Arabidopsis thaliana: one gene and its partner. The protein of the gene in region 1 interacts with the protein of each later gene in a pairwise test. Each region holds a gene or a part of one and is shown on either strand. Other genes may lie near its edges.

Region 1 (5,260 bases):
AGATTATTATTAGATAACCCTAAGGTCAGTTTTATAATTATAATTATTATTATATTTAAGAGTTTAATATTTGTATGGTATCATTAGAAAATAGGAAAATTATTAATCATCAAATCTTTGAAAGACTAATGATAAAATTTATTATCTTATAGTATAACTAAATTTTGACTTTTTGTTTCAAAATATTTATAAATGCAGATTTCTACGTTAAAGGTCTAAAAAAACAATTTCTGCAAAAGTCCTAGCTAGATGATCACGTTTTACATACAACTAAAACATCATTAGAACATGTGTATTGCATTGTAGGTCGGTATTGCACGGTATTATTTTATTAGTTTAGTTATGAGAAAACACTTACAATAAAGTTTGTAATTTTGTGATAAATGTAAACTAAAGTATCACTTTTCTATGTTTAGTCAGGAAATTGTTTTGCAAAAATACTCTCCAATATCATGCAAAACATAAGTGATTTCTAAAGCTATATTTTCCTAACAATATTCTCCATGCCGTTGTCTCTTGTCTCATTTGTTCCTTTCATTTGATCGGATCTCAACTACAAGAACATATTAAACTAACTTCCAACACACTGATCGAAAGAGTTTTTGACATTTTTGTTACGTTTTGACGGAATACTACAGTTTTCCACATGTGGATCGCTTGCATAAGACAAAGTTTTGATGGCTTTCACTCGTTCAAAACTATGTGAGACTGAATTATCAGCCAAAAAATCATCAACGTTTACACAAACATAAAATTTAGCATGAGGAACGGGTTTTCCATGTTTCGACAACATGACTTATTGAAAGATAATAGGCAAAATGTTTCCACCATAAAGGGTGGTGCAAGAAAACTTATATTGCTCTTACGGTGAAACCCTAGAACGGCTCAATAAAAGATCTTACCATTTTAACTATTTGAGTTTCTCTTTCGAGGAATAAGAGCCAAATATCCTATCTAAACTTCGGGAACACGATATATTATTTAGAAAGATAAAGCATTTACATAAAACGGTTAAATTTTATACGAAAGTCCTACATGTACACTAATAAAGGGTTGAAAGTCTAAACATTTTTAATGCATATTAACCATTGAAGTTTAAACCGCTGATCAATAACGATGAATTTGATACGTCATGTTAATGAGAAACTTTTCCGCTTCATTGCTTTACTTGCTAAAATCTTTATTCTGAGGAAATATATCAATCTCGTGTTCATATGAATAAATGTGTGACTCATATCATAAAATCCTTTTTAAGTATAAATAAAAAGCGCGTTCTATAGACACACGTAATATTTTTTTTTGAACAATGAATGATGGAAATATCAAATAAGTAACAAAAAGCTCAAGGTATAAAGACACATAAGTTTTTTTTCCAAAAAACTAATGATAGAAATAAGTAACAAAAACGTGAGCTACAGAGACACGTTATATTTTTTTTTGAAAAACTAATGATAGAAAGTATTATCAACATGTAAAAAGAAACCTTATCGAATGGATATCATAAAAAGGACAATAACAACCAAATCTTTTTGCTATAAAATTATGATTACATGATTATTAACATGTTTAAAACCTCTAATTACATAAATATATACACTAAATATTTACAAATTAATTTAAAAGTAATACCTATTAAAGAAAAGTAAAAAATCAAAAAGCAAAGTGTAAAATTAGACAATAACATTTAACCCCGGGAAAACAAGTGATAGTATTTCCTAATTTGAAAAGACCCCGCCTATAATTATAAAAGGTTTCCGAGGTCACAACAAAGCTCAGATCCAAACACAAGTCTTGTCTCTCTTTCTCTCGCAGGTCACCGAGAAAATATCTTTTGTTGTCTCCACCCACCCCACCCAGGTTATGGATTCTCTCGCTCTCGCTCCCCAGGTTTACAGCCGCAAGGACAAATCTCTCGGCGTTCTTGTCGCCAAGTATCTCTCTCTCTCTGTCTATTACGATTCTCCTGATTTTGATTTTTCAAATTCACGTTTCCGTTGAATTTAATATCTACTTACTCTATTTATGTTACTTTCAGTTTCTTGACACTGTATAATCGTCCCGATGTTGATCTATTTGGGCTCGATGATGCCGCCGCGAAATTAGGTGAATTTTATTTATCATGTCTTCCCATTAATTTTGTGTTCGATTGGGTTTTGGATAAATTATATTATGCGTTATCCAATTGATTCTAGAATAAAAAGACAAGAAAATCGCAATATCATTTTGGCTTTGTTTTAATTTTGGTTGGTATCTGAAATTGTAGGAGTTGAACGTCGGCGTATTTATGATGTGGTCAATATATTGGAGAGTATTGGGGTATAATATTTCATGTTTGATGATGTTTTTTTATTTTCATATTGTGTTTGATTGATTTGAAATTTTGAGGTGATTAGTTTTTGTGATGTTGTGTTTTTGTTACACAGCTTGTTGCAAGAAGTGGGAAGAATCAGTATTCGTGGAAAGGTTTTGGAGCTGTTCCTCGTGCTCTATCTGAACTCAAAGTACTTAATAAACGAATCAATCTATATGTTTTTTTGTTTTTGTTTAGCTTCTTCAGGATTGGTTTGGTTGAGTTTTGAGTTTTGTGTCTTTTGTTTTACAGGAAGAGGGAATGAAAGAGAAGTTTGCGATCGTCCCTTTTGTGGCCAAGTCAGAGATGGTAATTTCATATTTCAGTTACTTTGTTGTGCTTATGATTCTGATAAACATCAATGAAACGAGATTCTTATTTGAATAGGTCGTTTATGAGAAAGAAGGAGAAGAATCTTTCATGTTATCTCCTGATGATCAAGAGTTCTCACCATCTCCCAGACCTGGTAATGTCTCTTATGTTGGAGCATCATTGATTATAGTGAAGGGCTTAGTATTAATTACTCTAGGCATTTTCCTTTTTAGTTCATGCATTTACTTTCAGTCTAGGATCCCTTAGTTTATGCTTGTGATTTTTGCATAAGAATGCGCTAGTCAGTGAAATTGTTCAGGATAGGATTCGTGTTGGAAGCTAACTTGGTAATATCTTATGTTGGAACATCATTGATTAGTGATGGACTCAGTATTACTCTATGCATTTTCCTATTTAGTCCATGCATTTACTTTCAGTTTAAAATCTGATACAAATGAAAACTAGTCCTTGTTTGTGATTTTTGCATAAGAATACTCTAGTCAGTGAAATTGTTCAGGATAGGATTCGTGTTGGAAGCTAACTAGTTGTTTTTGCTATTTTTAGACAACAGGAAGGAGAGAACTCTCTGGCTACTTGCACAGAACTTTGTGAAGCTGTTTTTATGCTCTGATGTAAGTGAATAAGTGTTACGGCATCTCTCTAAACAAGTCTGACCAATGACCAATTTATTGACACCTCTATTGTTGCTACTTTGATGTCAGGATGATCTGGTAACATTTGATAGCGCTACAAAAGCATTGCTGAATGAGTCTCAGGATATGAATATGAGAAGTAATTCTAATTCCTTCCCTTAATCTTTTTTGTTCTCTGATTATTACATACATAAGCAATAACCAAACCCCATTTCTGTAAACTCTAAGCAGAGAAAGTTAGACGCCTTTACGACATTGCAAATGTGTTTTCCTCAATGAAGCTAATCGAGAAGGTACAATTACTATATGAGCCTGTTCCTAAAATATTACAATATGCACAATCTTGGATACTCAAATCTCTCTCATCTTTTGTGTTCATGCAGACTCATGTCCCAGAGACTAAGAAGCCGGCATATAGGTGGTTGGGATCTAAAACCATATTTGAAAACAGATTCATTGATGGTTCTGCAAGCTTATGTGATCGTAATGTGCCTAAAAAGCGGGCATTTGGGACCGAACTCACAAACGTTAACGCAAAGAGAAACAAATCAGGTTGTTCTAAAGAAGACAGCAAGCGTAATGGAAATCAAAACACAAGCATTGTTATCAAGCAAGAACAATGTGATGATGTGAAACCGGACGTGAAGAATTTTGCCTCTGGATCATCCACTCCTGCAGGCACTTCTGAGAGTAACGATATGGGAAACAACATTAGGCCAAGAGGTAGACTTGGAGTTATCGAAGCCCTTTCTACTCTTTACCAACCATCATATTGCAATCCTGGTAAAAAACTAGTTTCTTTCATATATGTTTTCCTTATATCTATAATAATCTGTGGGGACTTTTTACAAACCAAAGTTTTTTTTTTTTGGTGAACAGAGTTACTTGGTCTTTTTGCGCATTACAACGAGACATTTAGGTCATATCAAGAAGAGTTTGGTCGGGAGAAATGACTTAATCATCAGGTAGATTAACTTGCGGGGCGTAACTTCAATTCTCTAATCACAAGCCAAATTTCTTTTGCTCATTTGCGTTAAACTACAGAAAAACTCTTACAATAGAGATTATTACATGCAAATCGAAGCGTTATCTTTTGGTTTTTTGTAGAAAAAAATAAAAACTTAAAGTAGCTAACCGTGTAGTTTTAATTTTCTAGCGTTCCTTTATTGTTACAATTTACAAATGGATACCATTTCAGTTCTATGATTATATATCTATGTTGAAAGGAATTTTTAAAAGCACAAAAAGTTTAAACTTTAATCTGTTAATGCTTTTGTCGTTTGGTATGGTTCAATTTTTATCCTTAACTAATGGTAACTGCTGAATTTGGTTGAACTAGCTAAATTGGCTGGAATTGGAATACAAGTGATACATCATTTGTGGGATTAAGAGAAAAAGCTGATTATGTTTCAAAAACAAGCAAAAAAACTCTTAGCTAGTTCAACCAAATGTAGCGGATCGTTCCATTTAACTAGCTAGTTTTACTATTTTTGGATATTCTATTAAACAAAAATCGAAATATTCAGCCAATTTAGCTAGTTCAACCAAATTCAGTAGTTTATTTTAGTAGAATTTTTAGTAAATAAATTTGTCTTATTTTTGAGATATTTTTAGTTGGTTGATGTGGTTCTAGGAAACTTGTAAAGTAGTAGAAATATATTGAAAAGGGTCAGTTTCTTGATTAGTGTATATATTAATCGACCAAACATAAGAAAAGACCAAAATCTTTGGCTTAGTGGGCTCAGATAAATAAAACGAACGAAGGAAGATTTTTCTTAAATTTAAAGAAAAAATCATAATTATCAAAAATATTTAAGGAAACAAATAAAAAACAAAAAGATTCATCTTCCAATACCCAACGCATATTACGCAGCCACCACACAGCGGAGAGAGAGAGAGAAGAAACAGAAACAGAAACAGAGCTCGAGCTCGAGACGCTCAATAT
Region 2 (5,080 bases), on another chromosome or scaffold:
TTTAAGATGAGTTGCATCCACAACTATCACTTTCCGCATTGCCCTAAAACCTTCAATGCAAGCGCCTAATGCAATGAAGAGGTACTTGAACTTTTTCTCTCCTTCCAACTCCACATAAGTTACTGTCCCTGGATTTACCTTCTCTAACATGTAAAGATAAGAAAATAACATCGTGTAGCTTCTTTCCGGAGTCCCTCGCACATCACTAACATGTAGCATTTTGCCTCTTAAGGCAGTGGAGTATGAACAATGCACCCCAAGTCTTCCTCTTACAATCGACATAATGTTTTTTGGAGTTGGGGTCTCTAAATTTCCGGGATAATCACAATGTAAAACCGATGCTATTAATCTTGGTGTGCCTCGCTGTATACTGTTGCTTGTAGTCTCAACACTCCGAGAGCATGTATGCATCTTTCTATGCACTCTAACACTCCAAAAATGAGATTTTTTAGTTCTCGCAACTCTTAGATACCAAGTACACCCTTTAGAAGCTTGGCGGCATCGTAGCATAAGTCTCAACGGGTCTGACTTAATAGTATAGACTCCAAAAACTTCTTTCTTTGCAGCTCTGTTAACCAATTCCCACACAGCCTCCCTTGAACAAAATTCTTGACCAATTTCAATACCCGTACCATCATCCCATTCTATAACCTGCGGAGTAACTTCTACACTTCGTGGAATATCGTGAATATCATCATAATCAATCCTATCATCCTCATCTTGTTCCTCAACAGAATTCACCGGCCTTTCCATCGGCCTTTCGATAGCCACGATCTCCGTACCTACTACATTCTCACAATCATTCACATCATTATCATATCCATCATGCACCATCTCACATACTTCATTTAAAACATCATCCTCTATTACATTTACACCAACTGAACTTCGACGCTCCGGTACAGAAATTTCCTCTCTCCTCTCAACTCCTATACCATTTAATTCCTCCACATGCAAAACAGGAATCCGACTCTCTTCATCAGATTCTGTTAAAAATATGAAGACATCCTCATCATTTACAATATATGTCTCTCTCCTAACTTTAGACAGATTGTAACTCAGTTTCAACTTGACAGAAGCTTCATCAATCGCAACCTTCTTCATGATCTTGTCAACTAACATCGAATAGCTAATCTTCTCCAAACTACTCGTCTTAAACGATATAACATATAGTGAATTTTTACCAATCCACTCATTCACTTCAGAATAGTATCCTCCAAAGTCAAAATGTACCTTAGTGTGGATCTTCTTCTTCATCGCTCCTGAAAATACAACCAGTTCAACTCCAATCAAACATTTTAATAGTTATACCACATGTACTCTTATCATACGTTGAAATCAATCTCTCGTCGCACTCGTCTCTACTGAACCTAATTCGTTACCTTTCAATTGATTTCCAATGTTAATACATACCTATTCGTTAAACTAATTGGTTAATCTAAACTTTGCAAACACAAACCCCCCAAATCTTTAATATGAAATCTCGGAATTCAAATTCAACTCACATTCAACCTACATTCCTTTGCTCATCACCTCAAATAACGTTTCGGCAACCTCTAATCGATTACTCTTTACTTTGCAAACCAATCATCAAACTATCAAATTGAATCGAGCTGGGAATTATATAGAATTCAAAATCCCAATCTAAAATCACAATGCACCAATGTCAAAGGAAATATGAGAAGAAACTGACCTAATTCGTGGCTTTTACGCCGGATTTCAAGTCGGCGGCATGAGGAAATCGATGGTGGCCGACGAAGAAGATGAACGTCGACCAAAGAAGAAGAACACGACGACGAAGAGGAGAATCTCCGAACTCGATTTTCTTTATTTAGCTTTTGAATTTCTTTTTCATTTTTTTAATCAACTCATTAAGGGTACAACTGGTATATCACATTTTCGGTGGCATTCAGATTAACTTATGGCAGTCCAGATCAGTTTTTTCAAAAAAGTGGCATAAGTGATAAAAGTCCCCCCCTGCGGTTTGGTTTCTTGTCCGCTCCAAAACTTGTGAGGGCATTTTAGTCATTACAACATGGGAACTGGATTTTTAAACTGGTGAATTCGTTAGCGTTTATGTGAATAATCATCCATCATCAGGAAAGATCCGAAGAAAAGCGACGCCGTTTTAAAGGAGATGGATAAACAACCGGCGACCAGTTGGAGTATCCATACCCGGCCGGAGATAATCGCCAAGTACGAGATCTTCGAGCGAGTCGGATCCGGAGCTTACGCCGACGTTTACAGAGCTCGCCGTCTCTCCGACGGTCTAATCGTCGCGCTCAAGGAGATTTTCGATTACCAATCTGCGTTCCGGGAGATTGACGCGCTCACCATCCTCAATGGATCTCCTAATGTAGTTGTTATGCACGAATACTTCTGGCGTGAGGAAGAGAACGCTGTGCTTGTGCTTGAGTTTCTTAGGTCGGATCTCGCTGCGGTGATCCGAGATGGTAAGAGGAAGAAGAAGGTAGAAGGAGGGGATGGATTCTCGGTTGGGGAGATTAAGAGATGGATGATTCAGATTTTAACCGGTGTTGATGCTTGTCATCGGAATTTGATTGTACATAGAGATTTGAAGCCTGGGAATATGTTGATTTCTGATGATGGAGTTCTTAAGCTTGCTGATTTTGGTCAGGTGAGATTATGATTGTTACTGATTGTGTTAGTTATTTCATTGTTTGATGCACAAATATGAGAAACCTCTGAATGAAAAATGCTTGGTTTGCTTGAAATTTGGAAGAGTTAGTGTAATCAAGTGGCTAGACCTTATCATTTAGTGTAATCTATGAGTTTCTAAATGTGTGTTGGCTTCTTGGTTCATATACAGGCTAGGATACTCATGGAGCATGATATTGTAGCTTCAGATGAAAACCAACAAGCTTACAAACTGGAAGACAAAGATGGAGAAACCAGCGAACCACCAGAAGTTATTCCTGATTATGAGAACTCACCTAGGCAAGGGTCTGATGGTCAGGAACGGGAAGCGATGAGTAAAGACGAGTACTTCCGACAGGTGGAAGAGCTCAAGGCTAAACAGGTTGTTAGAGATGATACTGATAAGGACTCGAATGTGCATGATGGAGACATATCTTGCCTTGCAACGTGCACTGTTAGTGAAATGGATGATGATCTCGGTAGGAACTCGTTTTCTTACGATGCTGACGAAGCAGTGGATGATACACAGGGTTTGATGACATCTTGTGTGGGAACCCGATGGTTTAGGCCACCAGAACTGCTCTATGGATCTACGATGTATGGGTTAGAGGTCGATCTATGGTCGCTTGGTTGTGTGTTTGCAGAACTCTTGTCTCTTGAGCCTTTGTTCCCAGGAATTTCAGATATTGATCAGATCAGCAGAGTGACCAATGTGCTGGGAAATTTAAATGAAGAGGTCTGGCCTGGTTGTGTTGATCTTCCAGACTACAAGTCAATCTCATTTGCTAAAGTAGAATCTCCTCTTGGTATTGAAGGATGCCTTCCCAACCATTCAGGGGATGTGATATCGCTGCTCAAGAAGCTTATCTGTTATGATCCAGCTAGTAGAGCTACTACTATGGAGATGCTGAATGACAAATATTTAAGTGAAGAGCCTCTTCCAGTTCCAGTTTCAGAGCTCTATGTGCCTCCGACAATGAGTGGACCAGATGAGGATTCTCCGAGAAAGTGGAATGATTACAGAGAAATGGATTCAGATTCAGATTTTGATGGCTTTGGACCCATGAATGTAAAGCCTACCAGTAGTGGATTTACAATAGAATTCCCCTGACCTTGGCATTTAAGGTACGCAGTCAAAAGCTCTGGCTCGCTTAAACACATAAATCAGTCTCTTCTCTCTCTCTCTTTCTTCTTCAAAGAGAATGGGTATATACCAAAACCTGACATGTGTTTCTTTAGGTCTTGATTGATGCAACACTCTTTGTTGTTTGAAGATCTTGTTACAGAATACCGCTTAGAAAATTGTTAACTTTTCGTTAGGACATTGTTTAGGTATCAATGGCGGCAAAAACTTTTGAAATTCGTTTGCTCATTGATCTCACAACTTTTTTTTGCGCTTTGTTTCTCTCATCGATCTCAGTTTTATGTGTTTATCTCTCCTTGGCAGAGTCCATGGTTGAGCATCTTGATCATCCCGACTTCCCCTGAATTCGCCTACTTTGTCAAAAATGTGTTGTGTGTGTGTGTGTGTTGTTCCTCTCTCTCTGCCTCCCTCGTATGAAAATGGTAACATTTACAATTGGAAAGTCGGTGTTAGCCTTTAGCTATTAGCTGAAGAGCTAGTTTTCTTGTTGCCCAGGCCATTCTTTACCCTATTTTTCATCTGAAGTAACAATGAAACAAAATCTATATATACTCGAGTTTTGCTTTCTAGGATCTGTATTTCTTAATTGTTTCTATATTTTGATCAATTTTGAACTTTTCATATCAAGTTATCAACATGTGTAGTAGCAACCCTTCAATAATGAGACCATGGAATAAAAGCCTATCCTATATGTCATCCAGTTTTTGCTAAGATAAATTATTTTCAGTTACCCAAATTACATAATCAAAACTGATATCATAAACAACAAAAATAGCACACACAAAAATCATAACTGAATCTGATTCTTCCAGAAATGTGAACTGTTGTTTACTATAAAAAGAAGAAAACCAGAACCACAATACATTTGACTCCATGAATCAGTCATACTAGTCCAACATACTAAATATAAAACTTAAGGGGCAATATTGAAAATTAGACAAAAGTTGATAGACCAAAAGATAAATTAATAACAGTTACCAGTATCTATCGCCAAGTCTCCCCTAGGGTTTTTTTTCTCTGAAACGGACATCGAGAAATTCCAGGAGTGAGTTTTGACAATCGGAGAGAAATGGGGTCGACAGAAAAAGAGCAGACGACGCAACATCACCCGCCTCACATCAGCAGTCTCGTCGTACGTCCCTCCGGAAGCAACGACAGAGAAGACGGCCGCAACGCCGCCGGAGACTATGAGCCCGGAGAAGTCTCTCGTGACCGGCCTTCGTTTAATCGCTCGGATCGGTATAAGGGTGACAATGGTGGTTCGTATCTCTTCTAAAC

The links.
Region 2: the proteins of DEL2 (region 1) and CAK1AT interact in a two-hybrid assay, tested with the Arabidopsis thaliana proteins (one large-scale study listed by BioGRID).

The regions. Positions count from the first base shown.
Region 1 is NC_003076.8:4,842,106-4,847,365, forward strand, and holds DEL2 (DP-E2F-like 2), read left to right. Parts: upstream 1-1,749; 5' UTR 1,750-1,860; coding exon 1,861-1,931; intron 1,932-2,035; coding exon 2,036-2,103; intron 2,104-2,263; coding exon 2,264-2,316; intron 2,317-2,423; coding exon 2,424-2,501; intron 2,502-2,580; exon of another isoform or gene 2,581-2,602; coding exon 2,603-2,659; intron 2,660-2,737; coding exon 2,738-2,816; intron 2,817-3,226; coding exon 3,227-3,294; intron 3,295-3,384; coding exon 3,385-3,454; intron 3,455-3,546; coding exon 3,547-3,608; intron 3,609-3,698; coding exon 3,699-4,098; intron 4,099-4,194; coding exon 4,195-4,268; 3' UTR 4,269-4,559; downstream 4,560-5,260. UniProt on the Arabidopsis thaliana protein: Inhibitor of E2F-dependent regulation of gene expression. Binds specifically the E2 recognition site as a monomer without interacting with DP proteins. May be up-regulating E2FA and down-regulating repressors of cell cycle progression.
Region 2 is NC_003075.7:14,286,334-14,291,413, forward strand, and holds CAK1AT (CDK-activating kinase 1AT), read left to right. Parts: upstream 1-2,063; 5' UTR 2,064-2,137; coding exon 2,138-2,638; intron 2,639-2,830; coding exon 2,831-3,769; 3' UTR 3,770-3,783; exon of another isoform or gene 3,784-4,105; 3' UTR 4,106-4,580; downstream 4,581-5,080. Other genes in the region: AT4G28990 (RNA-binding protein-like protein), read left to right, coding at 4,872-5,061. UniProt on the Arabidopsis thaliana protein: CDK-activating kinase that modulates CDKD-2 and CDKD-3 activities by phosphorylation of the T-loop. Activates CDKD-2 C-terminal domain (CTD) kinase activity. Activates CDKA-1 probably by phosphorylation.